Astyanax mexicanus: one gene and its partner. The protein of the gene in region 1 purifies or fractionates together with the protein of each later gene. This does not show direct contact. Links are inferred from orthologs where the notes say so. Each region holds a gene or a part of one and is shown in the gene's direction. Other genes may lie near its edges. The genes, in order: kat14 and zzz3.

Region 1 (15,915 bases):
TTGGTAAAAAGCTAGTTGACTTTTTAACAACTACCGTTAGCTAACTGGCTGTTTCAGCTCTCGGTGAAACGCGATCTTATTACTGAACTACAGCGTGGTTTAAAAGCTGCTGCTGATTGAGAAAAACACACCCTGTGCTGGGAGAGAAGGTCGTGAATCAGCTCTTAAACGGCGCTGGATGTTTGTTTTGTTTCTGAACGAGCAGGTGACGCTGCAACTGGATTTTATAAAGATATGAGAAAAGAATGCTTTCGTCGTGGATTTAACATGAGAAGGTAAGCTGCTGTTATGTTCTGATCTGTGCAGGCAGTTTATGCACTTAACGTAACTCCGTTAGAGAACTAACTTACAGAGCTAGCGTTTGTTGTGTCTCCGGCTTAGTTTTCTGCAGTCCATGATTTATTAGCTAAGGTGTTTAGTTTATTTTGACCCCAAACAGCAGCATTCACTGCATTTTGCATACTATTAAGTAACCGCGTGAATCCACTGCACGTGCAAGTTAGCGTTAACTTCATCACGAACGAGTAACGGATTAGTAAACACACACTTGTCTATTTTTTTGAATCCTCACAGTTTCTGTCAGAAAACACTGAAAGAAAACTTCTCCTCTGTCTCTGTTTATACAGCGATGGTTTGGGTTTAAAGCTGGGTTTGTTGTGCTGGATGTTTGGTTAGGAGAAGGAGATTTTATAAGATGTGTGGCTGCATAATTGTGAACTGAGATCGCGGTATGTGAAGTTACACCCGCAGCTAACCAGTGACTTTAAAAAACAAATAAACACAGCTGTTACTGGACTTTATGGGTTTTAAAAAATGAGTTAATTACTTTTAAAAGACTAGGCTACTAATGTTGGCCCTGCTGAGTCCAGCTGATCATCCAGAAATAAACATTACCTATGCTGGTCAAAAGCTATTTAAAGAGCTAACCTCCCAGGGTGTGTTTGTTTTTTTTTCTGGTTTTGAGCATTTTTTTTAAGGAGGGAGTGTACGTCTGTGCTGCAGTAGAAGAGTGTCATTTTAGAAAAGTTGCTGTATTTGTCTCACTGTCTTAGATAGTATAGACTTTAAACATGTTACTAAAAATTAACACTGGACCGTGTTTTTAAATACTTGCCATTCTGGATGTCCTGAACATTTTCATGCATATTTTTTATGTCGGTTAGTTTTATTTATATAAAGTAAGACCTGTAGACCTGTACTTTATTGGATAAATTGATACAGCTACCATGAACTGTTTTGTTTCTGTTCTGTAAAATCAGGCCCCGTTCCAAAAGACACAACATCCTCAGTGTCCTGGAGCTCCAGCTGAAGCAGTGGCCACTCCACCTTCTCCATCCCCACCCAAAAGAGGTTGATGAATGTATGTTAATACATTAATAGCTTAATATTATTACTCTATTTGTTCTTATTACTGACTTACCGGGGGAACTAATTAAGGGACGGAAACACACACAGAGAAATGTGTTGGCAGTGCTGTTGCTAATTGTACTGAGTGTCTGCAGTGTACTGGGAGGATTGTGCTGGGTGCTTATTGTTTCTCAGGTGGTAAATCATGTTTGTTGTTGAATGTGCATTTTTTTTCCTTCCCACCTTGTAAAATCCTGCCTTTGCAGTCCACTTTAAAATATTTCCAAACAGAGAGGTGTAATACGCTCTTTCGATCTTACAGCTGCTGCTCACACTGCTAATAAATAAAAAACAAACCCAGTTGATTTTATCGGAGCGCCAGTACCCAAACCCGACTGACTAAAACTTTCAATCGTAACCACCTTACACTTAACGATTGAGATGACACGACCGCAACTCAACTGCAGCTCTACTCTAGCCAGACTCTCGTGATTTTATCCTGACTGGAAATTTGTCTGCAACTGTGAAATCATTGGAAAATCGTTAGGTACCTGAACACTCTTCTCTCTTCACCCTTAATGTAGCAGCTACCCACTGGATAACTGTTTGCCTGTTCTATAGCGACTGTAATTTCCTTCTGTCTGTTTCTTACACTCTGTAGGTACTTATATATTTTTTTTATTTAACGTGGCAGCGTGCCGACAATCACAAGTATTGCAAATGTTGGGATAAATTTCAGCCAATTTAACTTTACTAGAATGTGCTCTGTGTACTCTGCAGGTACTTCTAAGGCAGCTAGTTGAAGGCGTGATTGAGGTCCATGCCAGAGGGGTTCTGCACTGTGACCTCAAGCCATAGAACATCCTGGTTCAGATGTACAGTTAGGAACCACGCCTTCATCTTCTGTTCTTCTGGTATGGGTTTTCAGTGAACACTACAGGCAGAGAACTGTCTTCGTAGAAGCTACCATTACTGAATAGAGATTCAGGTCAAAAACATTCCTTAACGCTCAGTCACTGTCTCTAATTTACTTTTCAGGACCTTCCTCATGAGTGGTTTACCCATGAGGCCAAATCCTCCACAGTGTTGCAGATAGGAATCATCCTGCTGTGTGTGAGAGGTGACCCTTCAACACCAGCACAGAGATCACCTCAAAGAAGTCTCAGATCATCTCTCCACCATCTGCTCTATGACCCCTGGCTAAGTATACACCACGACACAGCCACCACATCAGTCACACCTCAGTCAGGTACCATATAAAACAATAATAATAATAATAATTTTAAAAAATCTATATTTTCAATCTCTAGTTTAGAGAGTTCTCTAGTAGAGCTGGGCGATTAATCGATTTTATCGATAAATTCGAATTTATAGTTAAGGACAATGTGTTTTTATGAAAATTGATTTTCTCTGAGTTTTCTTTTTCACCACAGACGCTCCTCTGTGGGCACAGAGTGAGCTTAGCTAGCTCCCTCCATACCTCCCTCCCTCCAGCACGCGCACCCCCCGCCCCTCCCTCACTCCCTCCCTCCCTTGCACGCACAAACACACACACACATACACAAAACACATGACGGCGAAGCTTAAGAGCAACTAGCTCCGTGATCTGGAGTTGGTTCGGTTTTGCGGCGTCGGACGTAGACCAAACAGGTCCTCGCTGTAAGGTGAACCAATTTATCACTATACCTTAAACAGAAGCATGTAGCGGAGTGGGAGAAGTGCTGCTACCATAGGAATGAACGCAGCAGCAGCACCAGTTCACCATTCAACGTTAATCAAGGAACTGTCCCTGGCACATCTTCCAACCGTGTACCAGGTTTTGTATGCACTACAAGTTAAGATGTTTTGCATATTCATGAGAAAAGATCTCATTTTATAGAACACTGGCACTTATTTAAATGCTTTGTTTTGCAATTCTAGCCCAATAGGGAAAAGTATTTACTTAAGAGCATATAAATTGTACTTGTTTTCTATTGTCTACTTTGTAAGTTTTATCAAAAAAGGGCACCATTTTATTTATTTCTATTTGTTTTTAAGGGTGTGTTTATTTATTTATTTATTTTTTAAGTTTGAGGGTGCATTGTGTCAGTACCTAAACTATGTTGGAGAAAGCTTTCTAAAAGTCACTAGATGTTCTCACTGTTTACAATAGTTTTTTTTGCTTGTTTCTGGTTGCACTTTAACCACAAATGGAACATTTTAAGTGAAAACAAATTAAATAAGAACTAGTTTTTAACCATTTCTTTATCATCTTTAGTTTGATTTTTAGTAGGGGGAAAAAATCGATTTAAATCGAGAATTGGATTTAAACAAAAAAAAATCTTAGATTTTTTTTTTCGGCCATATCGCCCAGCTCTATACTCTAGTTTAGAGGGTTTTTTTTTAATAAAACACACCTAAGGAAAATAGCAGGTATTAATAAAGCTATTGATTCCATACTTTTAAAAAGGTAATGATTTTCTTTAACTATATAAATGTTTTAATCGTTTTGTGTATTGTATGCTTTTAATTGCTTCCTGTTTTGTATTTGTGTTCATGTACTTAAGGCTTTAATCCTTTTATCTTGACATTGTTTATCTTTTGATGTTTATTAATTACTTAACTGTATTTATCTTTATGTAGTATACTGTTAGTGTTTTAATCCATACACTTTTTGTATATATTTCTTTTATTGCTTAGTTACTTGCTTTATTAATGGTTATTGTATTGATGTTTTAGTCTTATTTTGGGCTTATATTCATTAAAAACATTTTAACGTTTGTCTTTTAGTGCTTTAATCAATTAATATTGTACTTACCTTTTACTATTTTACTATTAATCTTTCTGTACTTAATTATACATTATTTTATAATAAAATTAAAGGCGGGTTTATTAATTGTATGTCTTTATACGGGATTTTATATTTGCATTGTATATATTTTTGTTTCATTTAATGTTTATGCTCTTTGTCTTTTTCAGATTTTTACATTTTTAATTTGTGTATTGACCCAAGGAGTATGGGTTCCTCTCAAGGTTTCTATCTCTCTTTCTGAGAGAATTTTCTTTGCCGCTGTCTCCTTTGTGCTTACTCAAAAGAGGTTTGGACACTTTTTTTTTTTTTTTTTTTTTTTTTTTTTTTTTTTTTTTTAACTGTTCTTAATTTTGTTTGTTTCTTAACTTTGTCAATAAATGTTTTTTTTATTGCTATCACTTGTGTCTGTTTATTTGATTACACTATCGCTAAGTTTCTTGAAATGTGTTTATGGAAAAAAAATAATTTTAATATTTTATTAAATGTGGATTTGATGCCCACATTCAACCACTTTTTAACACTTTAACTAAACACTGAAAGAATCAATCAGAAATTATTGATTTATTATTAATGTAATGAACAGAGATGTTCTGAAGTTAAAAGCTGATTATCCCATGTGTCTCATATTCCCAAATATGATAAGGTGGATAAGGTCATGTCAGCTCCAAGGACAATTTCAGTTTTGTATTTCAGTGAAAGTTATTCCTTTAATTGAATTTATATAAATAATGTATCTGGTAATATGCAAAGGCTCTCAGTGTTGTTACACCTTTTTGTTATACTTAAAACCAAAGTGTAATTTTCAACAACTCTATGTGATGTTTGACCACTTAGGAATTACACTGACATTACTTCTACAAGTCATGGGATAGTAGGTTTGAGGCTGATCATGAAGTGTTACCTCAATGTATTGGCCAGTAATTTATTATTGAAGGTTATTCATTCAAATTTATTGTGACTGGTGGTCTGCCTACAATTGTCTGTGCAACTCTGAGAAATATCTATATACAACTTTTAAAACGATTAAAGCTTTGGGATTTACATGTGCAAAATTAAGCCCTGCATACAGAAATATACTGATAACTTTCTGATGCTTTAAAAAATAAGAATCAAAGGAATCAAATTCCAAAAGATAAGCATTAGCATTTCAGAAGTACTGTCCGAGGTCAGCATACACACTAGAAGAACAGAGAAAACAAATCACAGTTCTTACAGTCTGCTTGTCTTATGAGACACTGCAGTATCCCTTTATTCATCCAATAACATAAATTATACATTAATAAAACATCTGTTTTATTAGAAATAGTTGTTCAAATTACAAATTAGCACCCACAACTCCACAGAGGTTGGAGGACCATAATTTAATATAATTATATATTTAAGTTACATGATTTTGAGCATATTACTACATTATTTTGCCTTTCAAAAAATGCCAAGTGAGCAAATCAAATCTAAAACTTTTTTTTGTTCCCCCTCTGCATGTGATACATAGAGATCAGTAACATCTTTCAGTACAAATGGTCTGTAAAAACAATATGAAATTTGAAAAGGAAAAAAATACAAGCTACAAAAAATGTAACTTTCAAAATAAATTCATGGTGATCACTTGATTATGACAGAAATGGACACCTGCTAAAACCACATACCTATCCTTTTGGTTTGAGGTAAATCTGTCTACCACAAACCAAAATATACAATTACAGTAGAGGAATCCTGCTTTAAGATATTTGGCCTCAGATGCATCAGTAGCACTTTACAATTAATTTACATTGTTTAACCATACTTATGTTAGAATGCCTCAACTAATTATTATTATGACACTAGTTAAGATATTAATTCCTACAAAATGTTAAAACTGATATCGCAATTCATCTTTGTTTACAACATTCTTAAGCATTACAATTTAGAAATGTTAAATAATATTTACCACTTAATTACCACTTAATGTTTATTACAGTCGTAAGTACTGTTATTTTTTACCCTGATTGTAAAGAGTGACAGATGCATCAGTAGCTGGGTAGAACAATATGAATATGACTGCTGTCTAAATAAATTAAAAAGGCATTTTTTTACGGCAGCCTCACGCTGACACAGGGTCCCAAGCAGTGATGTTAGTAACGCGTTACTCTAATCTGACACTTTTTTCAGTAACGAGTAATCTAACGCGTTACTATTTCCAATGCAGTAATCAGATTAAAGTTACTTATCCAAGTCACTGTACGTTACTCTCGCTCTCTCTCTCTCTCTCTCTCTCCACCTCACACACACACACACACACCGCGTTCCCTTCCCCATCCCCCTCCGCTCTCCCCCAATCACACGCGTCTCGCTTTCTCCCCTGTCTCTCTCGCGCTCGGCGTGTTTTTAGTTTCCGCCCATTCTCGTTTTTCCGCCAGTTCTCGGGCTCCCTATCTCTTTATAAAGGCGGGTTTTCCCGGCCACGTCCCAATTCACTAGCCAGGGCAGCGGTCTGCACAGATCTGATTGGCAGAGGAGAGCGTTTGAAGATTTTACACCACACGTGATTGGTCTGTGAGTTTCCCATGCCGCAGAGTGCGTATACCGTAAAGACAAGAAAAGTTCTGACGCTTTAAATGAACACTGTCAAAATTAAATCCTTCTCAGTAGTTTATCGGTTTGGGTCCGCATTGGACAACGTCTGGGTCCGGACCCGGACCGCAGTCTGCATATATGTGATCCCTGGCCTCGACCATATACACGGTTCTGTTTTATAATACCACTCCTTGCTGCCCTGCAGAGAACAACAGGTTCAATATTCAGTTTTACAGTGTTAAATATGTCAGGTCAAGAAAGACTTTCTTTATTTTATATATTTTTTTATAAAAACAAGTATTTATGTTAAGTGAAATCAAGAAAGACCATATTTTATTTTTTATTAAAAAAAAATTATTTATGTTAAGTTAATTCAAGAGAAATGGTCTTTTAATTTTATAAAAATAAATAGTTCAACTTTAAATGTCTAGAGATACATTGATGCTGTTAAAATGCTTTTTCCAATAAAGGGAGTATTGGCAAAACTGGTTATAATGTTTATGTTAAGGCGGCGGGACGTGGTGTCTGCAGCTGCTGAAAGTAACTAATAAAGTAACTTGTACAGTAACTTAGTTACTTTTAAAATCAAGTAATCCATAAAGTAACTAAGTTACTTTTTAAAGGAGTAATCAGTAATCGGATTACTTTTTCAAAGTAATTATACCATCACTGTTACTTACACACACACACCACTCACAGTGCAGGACCACACACACACACACACAGAGGACATATGAACATGTACTGTGACCTGCTGTAACACAGAGGTCAGAAGGTCAGAGCCAGAGGCCCAAATGATCCAAACAACATCCCACTTTTTCTTTACTGTAAATATTTCTAAATATTCACAGTGCAGGACCACACACACACACACACACACATACAAACATTTACACAAACATACATACACACACACATAATTTGCCAACAATTAGCTTATACTATTTTTTCAGTGCAGTGGGCGGGCACCTGGAGGACAAGTTACTGTTTTATTGGTTTATAAATTTGTTCATCGGCTGGTTTATGGCCTATTCTAATGGACAACAGCTCTCAAATAACGTTTTGTGCAACAAAACATTAGGATTCTCGAAGTGACCTGTTTTTATTTTTTAGGGAGCCCTAAAACAGCTTTAAGTTGTGCTACCCTTTCAAACCGTGCTACCATAGTGTATATTTAACTGTATAAATACAAAAGGAGCACTTTATTAGAGCATGTTCCCAGTAGAAGTCCTTGAAGATGTAGGTTACAATATTTGGATGGCATAACTCTCTGTACTGTGGCAAAGTTGTGGCAATGAGAGGACATAAAAACTGCTTTAGCTTTTCTTTTTATAATAATTGTTGATATATTTATTATTAATTTAATGTACAAGTTCGTGCAGTGATAGTTGGACAGCTTGAGTCCAGAGTCTAGTGGTTTAATGCACAAAAACTAAAAACTAATTTATTATTTAATAAAAACAAGAGAAGTAATGAAAACGTTTAGGTCAGCGCATGCGCAGTACCTTTAGGAAGCACGCATCTCTCCAGGCCAACAGGCGGCGGAGCGGCGGAGAAACCCCCGGTTAAACCCCGGTTAAATCCGGTAAAACCCCGCAGAGGAAGACCGTGTGCTGTAGTACCGCGGCTAGGCTAACCCGCTAACCGCCGCTGTCCTCAGTAATGTCCTTTAACGATGTCTACCGCCTCTAAACTGGTGCTCGGAGTCTCCGTAGTTCTGACGGTCAGCACGGTGATCGGAGTTCACCTTAAACAGAGCCAGGACCAGCAGGTAACATACACACACACACACACAGAGGACAATACAGACATACAGTGCAGTAACAACAATAATAACGCGCTACTGTAACTATAAGACACACACAGACACAAACAGCAGAATTAACCCGAGATATTTTATCCTAAAATATGTTAAATCTCTTAAATTCTCTTTAAACTGCAGCTGAGAGAGTGGCAGCCACATGATCCTGTAATCACTATACACCGATCTGCCACAACATTAACCCCACCTCTCTCTCTCTCTCTCTCTCTCTGTGTCTGTCTGTCTGTCTCTCTGTCTCTCTCTCTCTCTCTGTTTGTGTGTCTGCCTCTCTCTGTTTGTGTGTCTGCCTCTCTCTCTGTCTGTGTCTCTTTGTCTGTCTCTCTCTCCGTTTGTGTGTCTGTCTTTCTCTCCGTTTGTGTCTGTGTCTGCCTCTCCTGTCTTTGTCTCTTCGTGTGTGTGTTTGCGTGTCTGTCTCTTTGCCTGTGTCTCTGTCTCTCTCTGTGCCTCTGTCTCTCTCTGTGTCTTTCTGTCTGTCTGTGCGTGTCTCTCTGTGTCTGTCTCTCTGTGCGTGTCTCTCTGTGTCTCTTCCTCTCTATGTCTCTGTGTCTGTCTCTCTCTGTGTCTTTCTGTCTCTCTGTGCGTGTCTCTCTGTATCTCTTCCTCTCTGTGTCTGTCTGTGTGTGTGTCTCTCTGTCTCTCTATGTCTCTGTCTGTGTCTCTGCATCTGTCTCTGTGTGTGTTGCAGAAGCTGCGTGAGGGGGTGGTGAGAGATTTGGAGCGTTTGAGGAGGAAGCGTGAGAATCTGGAAGCTCTGGAGGAGCAGATAAAGCTGACCCAAAAGCTTGTACTCGAACGAGAACGACAGGAAGCCGCCAGGGGGTCCTGAGGGGCCCGTCTGAGTAGGTAGAGAAATTGCCTGTTTCTTTTAGATTTGAAAAAAGATGCAGAGCTTTCAGACCTCAAATAATGCAAAGAAAAAAGTTTATATTTATAAAGTTTTAAGAGTTCAGAAATCAATATTTGGTGGAATAACCCTGGTTTTTAATCACAGTTTTTTCATGCATCTTGGCATTATGTTCTCCACTAGTCTAACACACTGCTTTTGGATAAATTTAAGCTGCTTTACTTCTGGTGCAAAAAAAAAAAAAAAAAAAAAAGCAGTTCAGTTTGGTTTGATGGCTTGTGATTATCCATCTTCCTCTTGATTATATTCCAAGTTTTAGTTGCTAAAATAAGAGTCTTCTGTTCTTTGTTTTTTTTTCTCTCAGAAGGAGACATGGACAGTGGGGATCAGAGGAGTCTGACGGGGCAGGATGAAGATGCTTTGTGCACATCAGCCTCAGAGGGTCTGGAGGAGGGAGAGGTGGAGGGAGAGACCCTCTTGATTGTGGAATCGGAGGACCAGGCGTCCGTGGATCTGTCCCACGACCAGAGCGGTGATTCTCTGAACAGCGATGTGGGAGAGGACGGAGATGGCAGCTGGAACGAGGACATGTCCTTCTACTGCGACAAGTGCCACAAGTGGATCGCTTCTGGTGAGGGGACGGCACAGTGCCCACGAGTGATGGGGGTGGCAGGGAAGTGGCTGGCGGTTCCTTAAACCAGCCATCGGCCTCATAAACATGTACTTCACCATACATATATATCACAATACACAATATGTAGTTCACAAACTTTACATAGTTCACAAGTATGGAGTCGTGGATGTGTATACTGACCTTCTCATCTCAATAAAGTCTTTTCCTGAAAGGCAAAGTGCATGTGGTCTCAGCTCAGTCCTTGTTTTTGCTTTCTTTCCACTCGTTTCTTTTTCTCAAATAAGAAAAAGCTGAAATTTGTAAACAGTATGGCCGCCATATGCAAGTTAGTCCTTCTGAACAAAAGCCACATTCACTTCAACAGTTATATCTTTTGACTCCTTATGTTTAATTTAACTACAACTTACAGGCATATTCAGCACATGATTCTGAGGTGCCATATCAAGTTTGGCAGACATATGTGAAAAGGGGGCGGGGCTAAAGCAAAAAACTGACAAAAATCAAAGCTGCAACTTTGCATACAGAATCTACAATACTACAACCTCTAAAGCTGGACCTAAGGGCAACTTCATTAATCAAAATAAAAAAAAATGGCAGGACATCATCCTCCAATCAGCATTCAGCAGGCTTTTTATTTTTTTTTTTTTTTGGGCAGACTTCTCATTTGCCAGGATCAGTATGAAACTTAGGTGTACTGTTCAGGTGGGAATATTGCAGTGACCTGCACAGTTTTGAAACAATTTGGCCACTAGGGGCGCTACTTTAGAAAATCAAGTATATGTCATTTATACAGTAATATTTTGACATCTACTTGGTTTTGCCGTATTAAGTACCGTGTTTTTGTTTTCTTTCCACTCGTGTCTTCTGGTCGTTTAGCTCAGCTTCGAGGAGAGCAGCCCAGCTACCTGAAAGGAGACAACTTCTTCAAGTTCATCTGCTCCGACTGCTCCGACGACGGCAAGGAGAGCTTCGAGAGGATGCGGCTCACCTGGCAGCAGGTACACAGCGCGGAAGATTTCAGATTACTGTCTTTAAAGTAGGCCTGTGTCAAAAATTATGTTCTCCACTTATTGTATGATAAATGATGAACATGACCAATCACAGCTGCGGTATAGGTTTGACTAGGGGTGGGCGATATGGCGATATATATATATATATATATATATATATTATATATAATTTAGAGATAACGATACTCTTGGTGATGTGGGGAAAAATATATATATTTTAAGAATACACTCCTGCAAAAAAAAAAAAAAAAAAAAAAAAAATTGTTACTGCATATGATATGATATGGCACACCCCAAACTGAGATATTAAAAAAATACAAGAATTTGAAACAGAAGTCAATGATCCAGAATGTCATTATATTAATAATAATGCACTCCAAATATCTCCATATATCCAGGATTAAAGTAAAATAAATGATACTGGACAAATATAATCTGTCTCTAATAGATATATAATGGGAAATGAGAACGGTGTGAATTTTTTTTCTGCTAAAAACAGTAAAAAAAAAGTAGAACCCTGATGTGATAATTAGGGGTGGGTGATATGGCACCATATTTCAGGGTATAATATCGTTCACCATATTCAAAAAAGGTTGGCAATATTATTGCGTACGATGAGATATGGCACATTCCTAGGTTTGACACAGAAATATATATTGCCATTAAAGTTCCTATGCTGGAATGCTGTGTTTTTCTTTCTCCAAACATAATTCTTTACATTTAAATCATAAAGATCTGTTTTGGTCTCATCTGTCCAGAAAACATTCTTCCAATAGCCTTCTAGTTTGTCCACGGGATCTTTAGCAAACTGCAGGAGAGCAGAAATGTTTTTTTGGAGAGCAGTGGCTTTTTCCTGCCATGCACACCATTGATGTTTTGTGTTGTGTCCTAATGGTGGACACACTTAGCTTTTAACAGAATTGTAAATTAATCTACAGGTCACAAATACTTCACAAAATTCTAGAAAATCTCAGCTTCTGGACCAAAAACCTAATGGTTTCTTTTCAAAGCTCTGTCGGTCAATTCCATCATTTATGCAACAGTTTGAAAACTCATCTTTAGCAGCCAAATGTATTTTCATTACATTATATAGCAACACCATATCAACCCCCAGCAACACCTTAGCAACCAATGTATAAAAGTATCTGTACTCTCTAGTTGTGAGACTCTGATGAAGATTCTAAAGAGTTTTATGCTCATCTATGCAGGTGGTGATGCTGGCCATGTATAATCTCTCTCTAGAGGGAACAGGAAGGCAGGGCTACTTCCGGTGGAAGGAGGACATCTGTGCTTTCATCAACCGCCACTGGACCTTCTTACTGGGGACAAGGTGAGAGAAGGAACACCCAGATAATACCTAGCTTAGATTATCTGCCTGGGAAAATAGTCGGGCTCAAGAAAATAATCTGCGATTTAGGCGTCTGTTTTTTAATGCTATTTTTATTTTATATAAAGCTATCACGTGATAATCACTATATAGCAAAGTAACACATCAAACTGTGTTAAAAAAAAAGTTGCAGTGTATAGCCTTATTACAGTTTTTTTTGTGTTTTTGCACATAGACTATAAGCTCAATATAAAAGAAAATATTTGCTTGTTTAGAAAGTATTTTCTATTCTTAAACCATGTTAAATTAGATACAATATTAGATTAGAGGAAAGTCTAATCTAATTTACCAAGGTTTTAGGCATGTGGATCATTGTTTGCATTGTTTTTTATATGGTATTTTAATATTTCAAAGCTCACTTCTTAATAGACATTTTTTTCAAATAATAGGTCTGCGCTTCTTCAGTGTTGCAATGTTAAATAACATAATTCTGAAAAGATTTCGCTCATTCAAACAGCTCGAAAAATGTTTTTAAAAAGCTCAGTTTTAACGCTTTACTTGTACTCAAAAATAATGTGGGGTTTAATTCGGGCTCGGGCTCAAATTGACAGTGTATGGGTCGGGTCAGGCTCGGGCTGAGTTGGGCTGGGTTGGATTTTTTTATATTTTTATGTACTTCAAAGTTATAACAGCTTTAACTCCTCTCTGGAAGGCTGTCCACAAGGTTTAGGTGTGTGTTTATGGGAATTTTTGACCATTGCTTTGTGGGACCGTTCCCAAATTGTTCCCGCAAAGAGATGAGAGCATGAAATTGTCCAAAATCTCTTGGTCTTCTGAACTATTTAGAGTCAATTGTACTGGAACTACGGAGGCGAGGCCAAATCCTATAAAAAGAAATATAGAAATAGCCCCACACCATAATAATAATTATCCCCCCTCTACCAAACTATACACTTGGCACAGTGTAGTTAGACAAGTATCGTTCTCATGGCAAAAGCTAATCTGTGATTTATTATATATATATATATATATATATATATATATATATATATATATATATATTTATTATTATTATTATTATTATTTTATTTATTTATTTTTTTTAAACCCTTCCTCAGAAAGAAGACCTCCACTTGGTGGAGCACAGTGGCAGGGTGTCTGTCTGTGGGCAGCCCAACGTTTTTCCGTTCGGGTGCGCAGGAGTTCGGAGAGCCCGGCTGGTGGAAGCTGGTTCAAAACCGCCCTCCAACCCTTCGGCCGGATGGAGAGAAGACCCCCACTTCTGCCCTTAAAGCAAAAGGTAAAACTCTCTGCACACTAGCATGTGTCTGAGATCAAGCTCAGGTGTACTTGGGTTCTGCAGCAGGACAATGACCTGAAGCACACCTCCATTTATTTTATTTTATTTTATCAGATTTGTAACAGAAGTCAATTCTGATCCAGAATGTCATGATACTAATAACAATGCACTCCAAATATCTCCATGTATCCAGGATTAAAGTAAAATAAATTATACTGGACAGATATAATCGGTCTCTAGTAGATATATACAGCTCTGGAAAGAATAAAGAGACCGCATCAGTTTTTGGATCAGTTTCTCTGATTTTGCTATTTAGGTTTATGTTTGAGTAAAATTAACATTGTTGTTTTATTCTATAAACTACTGAAAACATGTCTCCCAAATTCTAAATAAAAATTTTTTCATTTAGAGCATTTATTTACAGAAAATGAGAAATGGCTGAAATAAAATAACAAAAAATCAGAAATCAATATTTGGTGGAATAACCCTGGTTTTTAATCAAAGATTTTTTAATGCATATTGGCATCATGTTCTTACACACTGCTTTTGGATAGCTTTATGCTGCTTTACTCCTGGTGCAAAAAATCAAGCAGTTCAGTTCAGTTTGGTTTGATGGCTTGTGATCATCCATCTTCCTCTTGATTATATTCCAATTATTTGGTAAAATCAAAGAAACTTCATTTTTAAGTCTCTCTTGTTTTTTTCCAGAGCTGTATAATGGGAAATAAGAACAGTCTGAAATAAGAACAGTCTTTTGCTAAAAAGAACGATATTTCAAAAACGTTAGCAATATTATTGCGTATGAAAGATATGGCACGCAGAGACATTTTTGGTATTGAATTTTGATACCTAACGCGTTATATTGAGGTGTGATAAATATTTATCTCATGTTTCCATCATCTCTCTCTCTCTTCAGCCGCGTCTAAGCCATGTCTGGACCCCACCATCACGGTGGAGGGCCTGCGGAAGCGAGGGGGGCGTAACCCGGTGGAGAGCGCCATGCAGCTGAAGGAGAAGCGCTCTCGGACGCAGGAGGCTAAAGACATCCGCCGTGCTCAGAAAGAGGCCGCCGGCTTCCTGGAGCACAGCGCCTCCTCCACCCCCGTCAAACTGGGGAACCGCGGGCGGAGACCGGACCTGCTGCTGGAGAAGGGGGAGGTCATAGACTTCTCCTCCATGAGTTCATCAGACAGGACCCCCCTCACGTCTCCGTCCCCATCCCCCTCGCCCGACTTCTCCGCCCCCGGCACGCCCGCCTCTCACTCGGCCACGCCCAGCCTGCTGTCTGAAGCCGACCTGATTCCTGACGTCATGCCCCCTCAGGCGCTGTTCCACGGTGAGAACCCTGCAAACCCAATCCACTTAAAAATGATGAGTTTCTTTGATTTTACCAAACTGAAAACCTCTGGAATATAATCAAGAGGAAGATGGATGATCACAAGCCATCAAACCAAACTGAACTGCTTAAAATTATGGCATAAAGTTATACAAAAGCAGTGTGTACAACTGGTGAAGGAAAACATGATGCCACGGTGCATAAAAAAACTGTGATTAAAAACCAAACTTTTTTTTTTTTTGCATTATTTATGGTCTGATAGCTCTGAATTTTTTGTTATTTCAGACATTTCTCATTTTCTGCAAATAAAAGCTCTAAATGACAATATTTTTATTTGGAATTTGGGAGAAATGTTTAAAGGCTCAAGCTACAATGTTCATTTTACTCAAACATAAACCTATAAATAGCAACTGAATAGAAACTGAAGTCGTCTCTTATTTTTTTTCCAGAGCTGTATTTGGGTTCCACATATACAGTACCAATCAAGTGTTTGGACACAACTTAAATTCAGTGTGTTTTTTTTTTTGTTTTTTTTTCCATTATTTTAAAAGTTCAACATTGTAGATTAATACCAAACTCATCCAAACTAGGAAGAAAAGCATAGTAAATAGTAAATATATAATTCATAACTTCATAAAAAATGAAAATAAGAATTTCAAGTAGTTTGAAAGTATCCTCAAGTGCAGTCACCGCAAAGACAATCAAAATCAATATGATGATAAAACTGGCACTCATCAGGACTGCTTTAGGAAAGGAAGAGCGAGAGTTTCCTCTGTTGTACAGGATAAGCTCATCAGAGTTACCAGCCCCAGAAACAAACTCAAATTAACAAACAGATAAGAGTATCTTAATGTATTTTGGTTTGTTTAAGAGTTAATAATTTCTGGTTTGAATGTTTTTGTGTATCTCTGTGCTCCAGATGATGAAGAGCTGGACACTGAGGGCGTGATC
Region 2 (15,778 bases), on another chromosome or scaffold:
TGATATTTATTGCAGATTTACAGAAGCCAGAAGAAATATAATGATATTTATAATTCACTTTGTTTCATCAAGATTTAAGTAACATTAATTAAATTGAGCAGCTCTAATCTATCTTGAGTAGATATGTCATGGGAAATGAGAACAGTGGAGAATTAGCTGTGTCCAATATTGTCAAAAAATGTGGTTTGTTTCTTAAACTGTTGGATATCACAATATTTATCTAATCGTCATTTTCTAAACTTTTTTTTTCTTTTTTAACAGGTTGCATTTGTTACTGTTTAGGACAGTTTCCGACTAATATATGCAAGTTAGCCAAACTGTTAGCCAAGTTAGCCAAGCTAGCTAAACTGCTGTATGCTCATTAAGTGAAATAAAAAGCAACATATTGTAAACTGGCTGTTTTTTCTGCTTAGTGTCCATACTTGAACTACACGAACTTATTGCTTGTGGTCTGCATTAGCCTCTTAACTCAAATTCCATTCCCCAAATGTCCCTCTTGTGTGATTGACTACATTTGACATGTTTGTTTAAAATCCTGTATTTTTGCTTTTTCACTTCAGATGCTGCTTCTGTATCTCTCAGCTTGTCAAGAAATGCATGTGTAAAGCTGTACATTTACAGAAGTTGTGTAAAAGTGACTTAAGCTTCCTGTCTGTAGGGGGAGCTCTAGAGCCCTCACATGATACGTCTTGAAGATATGCAAGCGTGTTAAATTTTCTGACCCTGTATTTTATTTTATTTTTTTGCCACAGGAAGAGCAACGAGGATGCTCAGAAGGAGAGGCGGAGGGTGACGGCGCTGCTCAACATGATGGAGCCCAGCCTGTTGCAGTTCTACATCTCGCGCCAGTGGCTCAACAAGTTCAGGACTTTCGCAGAGCCTGGTCCCATCTCCAACCACGACTTCCTGTGTGCTCATGGAGGTGAGGGAGAAGGTTGTAGAATATGTATGTGTAGGGTGTAGGCAGAGTGGTCCAGTGGGCTAAAATGCTGCCACTATGATCGGGAGATTGCTGGTTTTGAATCCCGGTCATGCAACTTGCCTTCAGCTGCTGGATTCATGAGAGAGCAAAATTGGTCTTGCTCTTTCTGGCGCTCTTTCAGCTCATCACTCCTAGGGTGATGTGGATCAGCACAAGGCGTCTGTGAGCTGATGTATCAGAACCGAGTCGCTTCATGAAACTTAAGAATTTGAAAACTTGAAAATTGTGGTCAAGCTGTGATTAGGACAAAATCCAGAAGGCCTGTAATAGCTATGAATATGTTCTGATTAATAAGTGAAATATATATATATATATATATATATATATATATATATATATATATATATATATATATATATATATATATATATATAATATTTGTTCAGCCCTGCTGAGTGTCCAAGTATTGGAGTATTCCCGGTTTCCCTGGCTACAACCCTAACCTTGACTTTAGCCGAGCCATTCACAGTTCCACATTGCAGAACGTCGCTTTCTGCCAACTGTGTGAGGGCCAGGAGGGCAAGGCCTATTCGCTTCCTCTCTGCTGATTGTGTTTACTTTCCATCTCTTCCTCTTTTCTTGTCGAGGCAGCTGAGCAGTGATTGCAGAAGGCGGTGCGTCTTTTAAAGGACGTTTCAGTGGCTTTCAGCTCCGCCTGCTCTGAATCCTACAGGGATTTGAGTCTGAGATAAAAAAGAGGAAAAGAGGCTAACAGCTAGAGCATGACCGTACATGCATGTCTTAGTTCTTTTAGGCCTCGAGTTCTTAGTCTATTTTGTTTCATACCCAGTTATACACAGTACAAATAGCAGTGAAATACTTTGACATTTGATTGGGCACATCAAATAATAAGATAATAGAGGAAAGAATACATAAAATATATAATAATGAATGAGTAAATGACGTTGTATTTATGTACAATGCTAACCACCAAGCCACTTTGCTGTACAAAATCTAAAAAAAAAAACGACATATATGGAACTTGTCGAAGCATATTTTACTCTGTACCTACACAGGTGTACCACCACATAAGGCTGCATACATCGATGATCTTGTTTTAATGCTCCCGCAAAACGTCTGGGACCACCTGTACAGCAAGTAAGTCCAAATATCTGGTTGTGGATGTTGGTGTGTTTGGCTGGAGGGAGGTCTAACCGTTGGTTCTCTGCTTTAGGTATGGAGGAGGCCCTGCTGTTAACCACTTGTACGTCTGCCACACCTGTCAGACGGAGATCGAGAAGCTGGAGAAGCGGCGGAAGAACGAGCTGGACATGTTCGTCCGGGTAACTGGAGTTTTACAGTCAAAATAAATAAAGCAAATGCAGAATTCAATTCAATGCAAACTTTATATCACCCATAATATACATTCTATTATCAAAAGTATATGCTGGCCCATCTTAATTATTGAACTCTCAGGTTCAATCACTTCCATGTCGACAGCTGTATATACCTCATCACTAGTGATGCCACAGCACAAGGAGTTGCGTGTGAACATGTGAAGTCAGACTCCGCCTATTTTTGAACTGCTGCTTATGCAGCATTGCCGAGTAGCATCACAGTGCTATACATCAGCTCACAGACGCCGCATGCTGATCCACTAGGTGTGATGTGGGGAGGGGGAGGCCGTTTGTGCTCTCTCAGGGCTCTGCCAGCGGATGTCAAGCTGCATAACCAGGTTTCGAACATGCAAGCTTCTGATCATAGTGGCTGCGATTTAGCTTGCTGAACCACTTGGCACCTCCAGTTATTATACTCCAGTCTTTTTATATATCCAACGAACACAGTAAGACCTTTTCCCGTAATAGTAATCCTTACCCGTGTAAAAAGGGGTTGTGACTTTTCCTTGGGTTTCTTCCTCCAGCTTTAGGAGCGCTTTTTATTATCACTGTCACCTTTAGCTTGATTAGTGGGAGTTTTATATTTCATGTTTTTAGGTGTTTAATCCTTTGTGACATCAGTTATACAAATGGTATACTGTACAAATGTGTGGTGCTGAGTGTTTTCTAAGAATTGGTGTGATTGCACGAGCTTGTGCACACACACACACACATAAACAAACATTTCCTCCACCCTCAATAACACCATTTTCACAAGCAAAGATCAGAAGCCCGAGTCCCCAAAACTGGGTGTCATTATTAATTCATGAGAACAGATGCACTTTCAGCTACAGCGTCTCAGAGCAGCTGAAGGGAAAAGAGAGCGCAGGCAGAGGAAATGAATTTCTGTCTTTCTTCATTACGCCTTCTTTCAGCTGCTGCGTTCCTTTCTCTCAGGCTGAAAGCTGGGCGTTCTTTACAAGAGCCAGTAAATCTTAGAGGTGTTCTGAGAGACGTGTGCTTTCCTTTTCTCTCCTTCACTGACTGACTCTCCAGCTGACTGACGATTTATTTCTTTGTTTGTGTTTCTCTGTATTGTGTGTAGCTGAATAAGGCCTTCCAGGAGGAGGAGTCTCCGGTGGTTATTTACTGCATCAGCATGCACTGGTTCAGAGAATGGGAGGCTTTTGTCAAAGGCAAAGACAATGGTAAGTAATGAACACGGCAGCACACCTCCCCCCATCAACTGTATCAAAAGCTTATTCTTATAAGCTTATAAAATGCCCTAAATATTTCTTCTACAGGCCAAAACATATGGAGAAAGCAATATTTTACTAATACAGTACATACTTTACAATTACTTTATAGATGCTTCTAGCATCTGAGTCATTTGCACTCTCTATAGTCAGATGCTAATCATCTTCAGCTAAGATTAGCATAGCATTTTGCTAATATAATAATCTAATCACGTTGTTTTTCCAGATCCGCCAGGACCAATTGACAACTCTAAGATCGCTGTGAATAAGAACGGGCACATCACCCTCAAGCAAGGTAATGTTCTTTATCAGAATTTACTTTGTCATTATTATAAAATAATAATAGCATTCGATATTACCACCATTGTAGTTCTCATTCCTAATCAGATTATGCTATGTGTCTAAATGGTTCTATACTGAGTCCTGACTAATCAAAGCACTGTTAGGCTGCTTTAAATGGTCTTTGCCTGGTTACACTGTTCTTCACTATGATACAAAGCATCTTATAGAACCTATTTAAGAATTTATGTCTTCCTTGTATAAAGGAGTTCTTTAAAGGTTTCATCACAAAAAATTAATCAGTATTTAATCAGTTCTTTGGCTAGTTGAAAAGCCTCTTGAAGGTGATATTATGTAGAACCTTGTTTGCATAAAGTTGAAAATCCTCCCACTTGCCTTTTACTTAGTTTATAACCCCGAGCTCAACCTTTTAAACCCTTTAAAACTGATTGTTCTAAAGGTCATGCTGGGAGACCAGTTTCGTTTAAACTTGTTGTTGATACTAAGCTGATTAGTGGTTCTGGACCAGTTCTGTCTTGACAGTCGAGCAGCATGGTAATTTTGATTATGCTGTTAGACCAGCTAAACCATCATACACAAATTAAAACATTGCATATGTTAGTAAAGAGTTAAGATGTTCACAACCAAACTTAATCAGCGTGATCAGCTTCAGCTGCCACGGCATTTATTTCAGCAACAGTAGAGTTTAATGAGCTAATAATTTAAAGGGACCAGATTTGCTTCTTCTTTTCACTCTAAACGTTGGTTTATTTCTCCTCCGCTGCCCCCAACAGGTGCAGATTCAGGCCAGATATCTGAGGAGACCTGGAACTTCCTCCACTCCATCCACGGAGGCGGACCAGTGGTGACAGTGCGGCCCAGCGTCAGCCACCAGGAGGTGGACAGCTCCCAGGCCGAGGAGAAGATCGAAATGGAGACACGCAGTGTGTAGCAGCTTCAACCTGCTGCCCTTTTAACAGGGGACTGGAAAACAATCTGTTATTTTGCACTTGACTCTTTCTTTTCATCTCTAAAGCATTTGAGCAAAAGATCTGACCATGCCTTGTCTCCTCCCTCCTTCACACACACACCTCCTTCACACACACACCTCCACCACAGTCTCCATTCCATATGTGAACCATTCCCTGCTGCAGAGAAGTGGAATATGTCTCAGAATAGGCTTCGTATTTGTATATACAGCACTGTCTGTCCACATTCTATTGGCACTGGTGACTAGGTTAGGCTTTAGAGGAATGGATTGGTGAAAAATCACATTTGCACATGTTCACACTTACCTTAGGTAAGGTAGTTGATCGACCAAGGCAGCTGAGGTTCACAGACTTTGCTTCTTTAGTTTAGCGCTGGAGTTATGAGGCTAACGAACACTGGAAGTCACTAGTCATCCAAATCATCATTACTGATTGCTTTTGTTTTTTAATATTGTATCCATATGTTGGTGAATTGCTTATTGTTGGCACTGATGCAGTGTGCTCAAGCTTAACCCTTATAAAATAAAATTAAATTAAATTAAATAAAATGGTTAGAGCTAGAGCTTGAAAGCTATTGTTGATACAAACAGTGAATGTTAATAGTTATCCAATTAGTTATTACTGCAGATACAGCCTGCACATGTCTGAACTCACTTAAACCATATTAATGTCATCCTTAAAATGGCACAGGCTTGTTAATGTGGTTCAGGATACAGTATGACATACTGTAAATGATAAACATATTAATAACTAGCACGTAGCTAAAGCTAGGAGAAATTCTACATGCCCCACAACCTCACACAATCCCACAGATTATGTTTGCTATTTGTATTACTATTTATATACATGTAAAGTATTTTAAAAAGTTTAAAATGGAATTCAAAAGTAATGGTTCTTTTAAAAAAAGGAACAACAGAAATCACAAACGTTCAGTTTCACAGTGAGGTTTTGTTCATATTTATAGTTCACTTTTTGTCTTATTTCACCCTAAACAACAACACAGACATGTCTACTCAGCAGTTTGCAGTTTGAGTGATTTTTGGATGACTTGGCTTTTAGTGTAAGCTAAAGAAGCAAAACTGCTAAATGTCTTGGTTGATCCACATCAACCATCATTCCACAAAGTGGAAAATGTAAAATTTTACACCAAACCGTTTCTTTAAAGGAGCGACAAGTGAAACTTTCCTCAGACACGTATAGAAAATGTGTGTAAGCTAGAATATCGCTGGAAATATGCATTCCTTTCCTACTTTTTCAATGAAAAGCACTAATCTTTCCTCTGTACAAAAAAAAAGACCCACGGGTTCAGCCAGTAGGCTAGCGAAAATATCGCTTATCGCTCCTTTGAGGTAGATCCTTGAAAAGGCGCCTTTTGGGAGCAAAACAAATGTACCGTTTTTTGTGACCAAATAGAGAATAATCTGTGAGTTGCTTAGCTGAACTTGGTGAAGAATTAAAATGCGTAGTACTGTACTCGTTGTCCGGTTTTAAAAGGAAAATGTCCGTCCTAGGGAGCGGACGTTTCACTGCTCCGCCTGAGATTGTGAAGGGATCCGAAGCGCTAAATAGTCTCAGGAAAGGACTGTGTAATTTTTTTTTTCTGTTTTGCACTGTTTCCGTAGGCCTCCAGCTCTGCATGCTCCAATACTGATGTCCGATTTCTATCTGAATGTACTCGTACTTAATGAACACAGAGTTTCTTGCATTCTATGTTATTTATTCCAGAAGGGGTAACGTGATTTACTATAATGTTTATACTTTTTTTTTTCTTTTTCTTTTTTTTCTTTTTTTATTCAGCGAGCCAAACCTGATATGAAATGCATGCTGGAACGAAAGATATGATCTGTAGGCTGAAACTCCACTTGACTTGCATGTAGATGCAGAGCTGCTCTAGAAGAACAAGGCACACATTTAATTGTATGTATAAAATAAAGAAAAATAGACATGAATCTACTACAACTGATTAAAGATTGAGGCATTAATTTATGTATATAATGGCATGATTTATTTTTTCTTTTTATTATTTTTTTGATGCTCATTGACTGGAATAGAGGACTGACATATCTGTCATTTATGAAAGCTGTATGGGAAGAATGAGTCCTACGTCTGTCACTTTTTGTTTTGGTTGGCCGAAACAAATTAAACCCAAAATTATTCAGTGAACGTGGATTTGTGGTTTCACTTATTTAATTTTTTTCAATTAAATATTCACAATTCTAGTCTGTTTAACTGATCGAATAATGCTACACTTTTAAAAGGCATTTAGGTAATTTTTTCCCATTTAAAACAAGTATCTCTGGTAGTAGATATCTCTGAGTATATGTGGTAGATTTTTAGATTACTACCTAATTTGAACACAAAGTGTCCTTTACACTGTGTCAAAATTTCTTAATAAATGGACCAATAGAAATTATCAAAAATTACTTGAAAATTCTTTTCACATTGACTTCCATTGAAGGTTAAGAAGATGTAGTAACTCCTGTAAAGTTATTGTCCTACATTAAATTAAATTTCTACAATCCATTTCTACAAGTAAATCTTACAGCACTTCATGCTTCCCTCTACTGACAACTTTTATGAAGATGTGGATTTCATTTTCCAGCAGGACTTGGAACACCACCCAGACTTTTCTGAGACACTGATCTTTGGGTTTTTATTTGGCTGTAAGCCACAATCATTAACAATAAAATAAATAAACCAATAAAATAGATCACTCTATATGTAATACGTCTATATAATATATGTGTTTCACATTTTGAACTGAATTACTTAAATAAGTAAGTAACTTTTTAATAATATTTACATTTTTGGGAACATCTAAAACCATCTAACTACTGTATCTACAAAGACAATCTGGGTTTTTGTGGGATGGATGTACCATTCTCTCTGTCTTTCCCCCACACACACACACGCTTTCTCTCCCTCCCTCTCTCTCCCCCACACACACTCATACACACACTTCAGTTCAGTGGAGAAAAACATGGCAGCTGCCGACTGTGCAGCAGACGCTTTGCGGAAGTGAGGTAAGTAGCTAGCTACAATTCTCCTGCTTGAGAAACCGATTTGTTTTCCAAATAATTCGCTTTCAAAAGTGTTCCCAAGCTTTTCGTGTGCGTCTTTTAAAAGCTTACATTCTATAAAATAAGTGAGCATAGTATGAAAAGCAGAATGATGGTTTGAACAGGAGAGGAGAGAAAGTTAAAACCATCGAATCGGGCGCTTTAGCTTAGCTGAAGTTGGAATTTAGTAGTTCCACCTTAAATGGTGCAGCAGTTCGATTGAGGCACCCGTGCGCTGTAATATTAACTGCTGCACCATTTAAGGTGGAACGGCGCTATTCCAACTTTAGCTAAGCTAAGCGACGGTAAGGCTATGTACAACACGTAGGCCCTTATGTTTAAAAAAACAAACCTAAATACACACATTTATATCAACGTATTCATATAATTTAACACTAATTAAACTATACTTTATAACAAACACCTCTTTTAAACGTTAGTAGGCTATATAAATTATGTAGCTAACGTTATCTAAAAAATACAGTTAGCTTAGCTAACTAGCTATGTTAGCTAATTTAGCAACCCGTGTAACCGCTTGCTTTGCGGTGTTATGCTATCTTAGCTAGCTTTAGCTAACGCTAACTAACACCAAAGTAAGTTAGTGGCTTTTCTTCTGTTTTTATTTTATTTATTATTTTATTATTATTTAACATTAACTTGGCTCAGTTTTCCCTTGCACCATTGAAACCGTCCCCCAAAATGTTCGGGCACGTAAGTCAAATTTGTGCTTAGCGAGTTAGCTAGAAAACCTTCCAAGCCCTGGTGTTCTGTCGAGTTATGCTACCTATCGATACGTGCTTCTTTACGGCACTGCGCATGCGTTAAACAAAATTTTTTTTTATAATGTTTTCATGTCAATTCCTTAAGTTTTTATTAGTAGCATTAAACAACATGATTGAATGATTGTAAAAAACAATAATAATAACCTGTAAATAGCAGTTAGAAAATAGCAATGGAAAGGTTAAGAATAAATAATTAACTAGAAAACTATGAAAAATGATTTGAACTAAAAGTTTTAACTTTACCTGATGAAGTGATTGATCTGCATATCATACCTAGGCTTCTGCTGGGAGTATTTTCTAATATGTTTTCTGATATGGTGTTTTACCTTTTTAAACATGAAATACTACTAGGGTAGCACTGTGTGACAAGGTAGCACAACTCGACAGAACACCAGGTCTTTAATTCAAGCTAGCGTGCTAGCACGGTTGCCCGGCTACCTACCAAGGAGCGGCTCAGAGACCCGCGGCCCACGGATAGCGCCGCTCTGTCGGCTTGAGGGGTTGTGTGTGAGCCGCTGTAGCTAGCTGATGTTAGCTAGTTAGAGGAGCGGATAACTAAAAGGGGCACGTTTCTTGGGCTAGGTTCGTTAGTTATCTAGTTATCTATCAAACTACATGATAAAGCGTTTTTTAATCTGTTTGTCTAATACCAAATCTTAAATCTTTTCGCTAAATCACGAATTCGAGTTCTCCTGGTAGCAACCACGAGTACACCAAAGTATAAGCTCCGGAGCCGGCGAGCGGTTACCACGCAAACCCGCGGCTCCAGTACAGCGCAGGCCAGGCCAGGAGGCGGCGGGGAAAAAGTGCCAACAGTGCGGCTGATTTAACGTTACATTAATCGTAAACAGTGTTGAAAAAGGTGAGTTGGGATGTGTATCAGTTCAGTTTTGGGACTCTTTAGGGCTAAATTGAGGCTAATTTCGATCATATAAGATGCACAATATTGTGTAAAACTTAATTTATATTTTGTACATTTATTATAGGGACCCCCTGAGAAACTAATCTCGTTTGGATAGGGCTTATTTTGGATACTTACACCTGTTTAATTTTATCGTACTTCTCTTTCACATTTCTTCTTTAATTTTTGTTTAAGTATTTAATATATTTTAGTAACGTTATCTGTTTGTTTCAAAGAGTGATGTGTAAACACAGCACAGCACTGACTGACCAGAGAGAATAGTCACTGCACAACGCAGTGCAGACATATAACTCAAGCTACTGTTGCAGTTATGTTTGTTTTTTATCTGACGCACAATGTGCGCTTGCAAAATTATGCTATCATATGATTAAATAATCTAGAGAGCTGTGATGACACCTGCTAAATTTTGTTACACTGGTTGTTCTCCTGTTTGTGTGTTAGAGCAGTTTTTCGCCTCCAAAACAGAACCACCTTGAACTAGGGCTATAAATGAAAGTGACTTGATTAGGAATACAAGCAGAATGCTTACGTAAGTTCTTCAGACCCACAGTCCAATCAATTTAAAAATGCACATTGAAATTGGACATAAAACTAGCAATAAAAATTGATTATCATCAGGTCTTATTTTAAAATGGGGAATGTAGTTACTCTTTCTGCACCCTTTTTTTTCAAACTAGATTTTAATATAATCAATGCTATAAAAATATGGCTAGGTTAGGCACAACTATGCTAATTGGAACTGGCGGCCTTGTCATTCCTTTTAAATGATGTTGGGGAGGGGGTGAAAGTATAGCATTGTAAATGTCTTGATGCATTAAAACAATTTTGCATGTTAATGAAACCCTACCTCTTGATCTCATGTACTTGTCATCCAATAGTGGTTCAGCTCATTAAAAAACAACGATTAAAAAAAAAACATGACCAAAAATAATTACGTTACCTTACATCAGTGCTGATAAGTGACTAACGACCCATATACTGATTTGAATCTGCTGTAGGCTGAATATATGTAAAGGTGTTGCTGTTTGGTGGTGTCAGACTTATTTTTGCAACTTAACTTAGAGGAAGGTATTTTATGTATACCGTATGTATACCACAAGTCAAAAGTTTTAGAACACCTCCAGTGTTCTCTGTAGTCCACTGGCAGCAGTCTTTCTTATTTTGCCATTTTGTTAAAATTACATTAGCCAATATAGCGTTTACTTTCATGCTACCTAATATAGCTGCATCTCCTGTCAGAAGTTTTCACTTCACTGCTGAAACTGAGGGCATTTTAACACCAGCGATTCTTAGTTAAACTGTACTCTGGTTTGTTTTCACCCTTGGTGCAATTTGTTTAGGCAGGTGTGAATACGATAATCACATTCAGCTGCAGACCAAAATAACCACACCTATTCCCTTAAAAAGAGGTGGTCTCAGTCTGGTCCCAAATAAACCTTGGAACAGTTTGTTTGTGGTGAAAGAGGCTCCAACTTCGATCCAACCCAACTATCAAATGTACTTTACAAGTTTGAGTTTTGATAATTTGGTCTAACCAAAAAGCAGACAGAACTATTATTCTAGTGTGAAACCAAACCAAGGGGAAACATGCTTATTAACTGATTTAGACCAGAGAAACCAAATGACTGTAAAATGTCATCCTGGACCAGACATACTTAAGATACGTTTCCAATTTAGAACCACATAAGAAAGCGGCTCAGATCTGATTTGGGAAAAATATGATTTGGCATGTTCACACAGCCATTAAAAAATCTGATTTGAGCCACATTGAGCTAAAAATCAGATATGAGTCACTTCCGTCTGGCAATGTGAATGTAACCTAAAAGCAATCTGCTTTGTCACGTGTTGTGTGAATGTGATGGTGCCATATTAATAATAGTAAAATAATTATCAGTACATTGAGTATCACAGTATAACACTTTAAACTCTTACTTTACTGTTTCTTTAGTTTTTTTCTTTTTTTTCAGTATAACGAATCATAACCTCTGTATTGTGATTAAATAAATAGTTAAATAAATATGTGTAATAACATGAGGTTCAATATATATAATTATAAAACGCCTGAATTATTATACATTAAAGCAGATCTTCAAGAAGCACAAGTGAAAATAACGTTCGGATGATCATGTCTTTGATGATGTTAATTGTTGCTTCTGGAAATTTTAGTAAGTAACAGCTGTTGTATCTGTGATGAGGGCTGGAGTTCACAACGGATTACATTGTACCTTGTGCACCATTGCTTTTAATCTGTGCATTACACCTGATGCACGTGTCAAAACTTAAATCACTGCTAATGGGACGCTCATGCGTGAACCTGTAATCCCACTGGATGAATGGATAAATGGATGGGTTGAGTAGAACCCAAAGACGTGTTAAGTGAACACACTCTTTACTGAAAGGGCAAAACAGAGTGTGGTGTTTAACTTTACATACGTAGTAATTGAAAATTAGCTTCATCAAACCCACAAGAGAGTCTTTAAACCCGCGCTTGACACTGCTGCTCCCGCTGGCTTCTGTCTTTCTTATGCATGGTCAAATCACATTAGCTTCTCTGCAGGAGTCTTCAGCCGAGTGTGAAAGGAATACATATACAGTTCTGTCCAGGTGCCTCCTTTTTCAAGGCCGTGAAGCAAGATGAATATGTCTGCTCCTCGTGGCTGAATAAGCAGAGGCTGGTATGAATGAACAGGCGGATATTTGATGTGTTCTGACAAGCGCAAAGGGCACAGCGGATCTCTCCGATAGACGTTAATCAGTGCGAAATATTAAATCATGTAGGCTGAGTGACAATTAGGCTGGAGTTTGCGGATTTTATGCGGATTTAGTGTTAAGTCTTTGTAGCAAGTCATGCAGCACAGAGTAACTGAGTAGCTTTACATCTGTAGTTCTTAAACAGAACTGTTTAACTGTGTCAAAAAAAAAAAAATTACTCTGCTAGATTTTTCAACGTAGGCCAAATATTTCTAAACAAACTTGTAAATGGAGGACTATAGCCATATCCGGATGAGACTAGTTTCTCAGGGGGTCCTGGGTAATTTTCTTTTTATTCCATTTTGGAACGGCCATGTACGTGTTTTTTTTTTTTCCAGACGTCCTCTGAGAAAATTACATGCTGAATTATCTACTGTTTTTCTCTGAACTCTGTGGTCCTCCGGTAATTTTATTCCTGTCCGGATCCACATCTCTGCATTTCATCAGCTTGCGTTTAATAAAAAAACTGGAGGAGCTACTGAACGTGATGTCATGTGACGGAGAAAGCCAAAAATCTTGTTATTCCTCCTTTTTTTTTAATTGCAGTCCAGGATTTAGGAGTTTTATCACTGTGAAATATTTTCTAAATATATAAGAAACTAATCCCGTCCAGATAGAGATTTAGATGAAGTTTGTGCTACTGCTTGGTTCATCAAATAAATGTATAGTGTTTAAGTGTGCTTTAGTTGCAGTTTAGCTCCACTAGTGTATACTTTAACTCCTGAAGTGTTATTTCTGAAACAATGATTAGCCAGTTAATATAATTGTGCTGCTGCTGCTGCTGTAGTTTTAAAATCTGTTTTTAACATGTATCTAATGGTAGCCTAACTTCATAAACATTTTTATTTTCTGTTGAGTCAGCAGTGTTTCTCTGATGGACTGTTTGATTTTCAGAGCTAGTAAGCTGGTACTAAAAAGAGCACCTGAGAGGCTCTGATAACAGCCCATTTGGAGTCTTAGTAACACTAGAGCATGATGTGCTTTAGCGTTTTCAGACAGATAAGAGCTGAGAATGAGAAAAGCAGTTAAATTCGACTGTTATCTGAAGATACTTGCTGACAGACTTGAGTCTTGTATGCTGGTTCTGTGTTTAAAAGGAGATGTTCTATGTATATCTTCTCACTGTTTGCATTAATGCTTTTAGAATCATAGATGATGATTAGGCAGGTTGATTTTACTTAAAGTAGAAAGTCGGCACCTAAAGTTCTTCCTGGTATAGCAGTATGTACTGTGTTTAGGGGAAATGGAAGAGTTGAGGGAAAGGTCAAGCGTCTACAGATGCAGTAGTACAGTGTAAATGATATCAGCTCTGCGAAAACATGCTAGATAACACCAATGGTTTCCAAAAGTGGTTCCCAACCCTGGTCATGAACCTAGGTTCCCTGCCCTGCACATTTTAGTGCTTACCCTGCTCCCAACTCATCTGATCCAGCTCATTAGTTTAAGAAGCCCTTGAGCTGAAGGAAACCACCATGTTACTAGCAGTGTAGAGTGCTGAAAAGTGAAACAGGAATTGTGTTTGAAACATAGTATGAAACCTGCCTTGCTTCAGGTTCAGAATCAGCATGTAGTAACCTAATTCTAATTCCTATTTATTCCTGTGTAGCAGGATGACTCACTGCTTCCACAAGACAATTAAAGCTACAAAAAAACAAGTTATTTAGATGCAGATTAATTACGTTAGACACTCTGGAGAAGATCACAGTAATAATAGCTATATTACCCATTTTCTTTGCTTTTTTGTTGTCTGCAGTGAGGAGTTTACTGAGAGTAGCGTGTCATCTTGACATTGGCCCAAGTTGTCCTGTTTGTTGACGGCTGCTATCAATAACCAATGTCATCATATACTGAGCCCTGTCCCCTCTCTCTCTTTCTCTCTTTCATTCTCTCTCTGTTTCTCCCTCCTCCCTCTCTCAGGTGCCCACATTCTGCCGCAGAGGAGAGCACCACGATGAGGAGAAATCAGTAGGCACCCTCCATAGTATGGCCGCGTCCCGCTCTTCGCGCGTCACAAGATCATCAGTGGGGTTAAATGGATTGGACGAGAACTTTTGTGGCCGAACCCTCAGGAACCGTAGCATCGCCCAGCCGGAGGAGACATCGCCGCCTCCCAGAGCTCGATCGCCCAAAAAGAAGCAGGACAACCAGCAGCACCAGCAGGCCGGGACTAACTCGGGAAAGGTAGCCGACGGGAAGCCGGAGGGCGAACCTGCAACTGGCCACAGAAAACGAGGCCTATCCGTCTCTGAGAAAGAAGAGCCAGAGAGGTCGGAAGGCTCGGAGAGAGGTCGGGCCGGAGGAGGCCAAGAAACCTCCCCTGTCCTGAAGAGAGCCAAGCGCTGCTCTCGCTCAGGGGAATCCCAGGGAACCGAGGAGGAACATTCTCCAAAATCAGAAAGCCCTGAACCTGCTGCAGCCAAGGAGAACGATGAGGACTCAAAATTGGACACATCATCAGCTTCTCCATCTCTCGGTCTTGAGAAAGACCCAGAGGAGAAAAAGGACAAGTCTGAATCATTGGAGGAGAGCACCTCTCCCTCACAGGCAGATGAGTCCCACAAGGCGACCAATGGCCTGGCGGAGCTCCATAAGGAGCTGCTTAAGGAGGACTTAGAACCTGCAGCCTTGCCTGAAGAGCCTTGTGCCTCCCCCACCACACAGACACTCACGAACAGTCCCTCGCTGCCCAACGGCAGCCAGGCAGCTCCCTCGACCCCTGACCCCATTGTGCCTTGTAAATCCCCGCTAATTCAGCAGGTTGACGAGTCAGACGGCCCCCAGCTTGACGGCGAAAGGAACTGCTCAGCGGAGGAAGCAGCTGAAGCCGTGCTGTCTCTGGACCCAGAAGTTGAGGTCGAGGTGGATGTAGATGTGGTGGGGGATTCCATTCAGGCCCAGGACGAGCGCACGGTTGAGGAAAACGCCAATGGCTGCACACCGGTGGAACCGCAAGACCCTTCAGACGACTGCTCAAATATCTCAGGAGAAACGACAGGCTTGGCCTCCTTCAGGCTACCGGCAGAACCTCCCTCCTTCACGGAGCCTCAAGAACACAGATACACCTTGCGGACTCCGCCTCTTGATGGATGCGCTCAATCCAGTTCTCCAAAGCCTGACTCCTCACACACAGACAATGGCTTACCTAAAGAGGAGGAGGAGGTGGAGGAGGAGGAAGTGGAGGCCACAACAGTTCCTCTGAACTCTGATGAGGCCTGTCACAAAGAACCTCCAGTCGATGGACCAAGTCTCACGGTTGAGGCTGACAGTGAAGTTTCTGAGCAGGTAGAGGCCAAGGCTAGTGAAGAGGCTGCTGTGTTGGATGGTAGAATGTCCAGATCCACCAAAGAACCATCAGTCAGCCTGACTGAGGATGAGGAGGAGGATCCTGATGTCTACTATTTCGAGTCTGATCACTTGGCGCTCAAACACAACAAAGAGTATG

The links.
Region 2: the proteins of kat14 (region 1) and zzz3 purify together in Homo sapiens (affinity purification with mass spectrometry; 4 studies listed by BioGRID and IntAct, with this or other methods). This does not show direct contact. The link is inferred for Astyanax mexicanus from reciprocal best matches to the Homo sapiens genes KAT14 and ZZZ3.

The regions. Positions count from the first base shown.
Region 1 is NC_064430.1:23,800,796-23,816,710, reverse strand, and holds the start of kat14 (cysteine-rich protein 2-binding protein), read left to right. Parts: upstream 1-9,729; coding exon 9,730-9,988; exon of another isoform or gene 9,989-10,208; intron 10,209-10,867; coding exon 10,868-10,989; intron 10,990-12,209; coding exon 12,210-12,331; intron 12,332-13,446; coding exon 13,447-13,628; intron 13,629-14,544; coding exon 14,545-14,964; intron 14,965-15,883; coding exon 15,884-15,915. Other genes in the region: protein PET117 homolog, mitochondrial, read left to right, coding at 8,367-8,462, 9,199-9,339. UniProt on the Homo sapiens protein: Component of the ATAC complex, a complex with histone acetyltransferase activity on histones H3 and H4. May function as a scaffold for the ATAC complex to promote ATAC complex stability. Has also weak histone acetyltransferase activity toward histone H4.
Region 2 is NC_064415.1:55,922,103-55,937,880, forward strand, and holds the start of zzz3 (ZZ-type zinc finger-containing protein 3), read left to right. Parts: upstream 1-7,740; 5' UTR 7,741-7,845; intron 7,846-9,209; exon of another isoform or gene 9,210-9,525; intron 9,526-14,253; 5' UTR 14,254-14,319; coding exon 14,320-15,773; intron 15,774-15,778. Other genes in the region: usp33 (ubiquitin carboxyl-terminal hydrolase 33), read left to right, coding at 753-922, 1,999-2,080, 2,157-2,265, 3,404-3,506, 3,781-3,849, 4,628-4,785.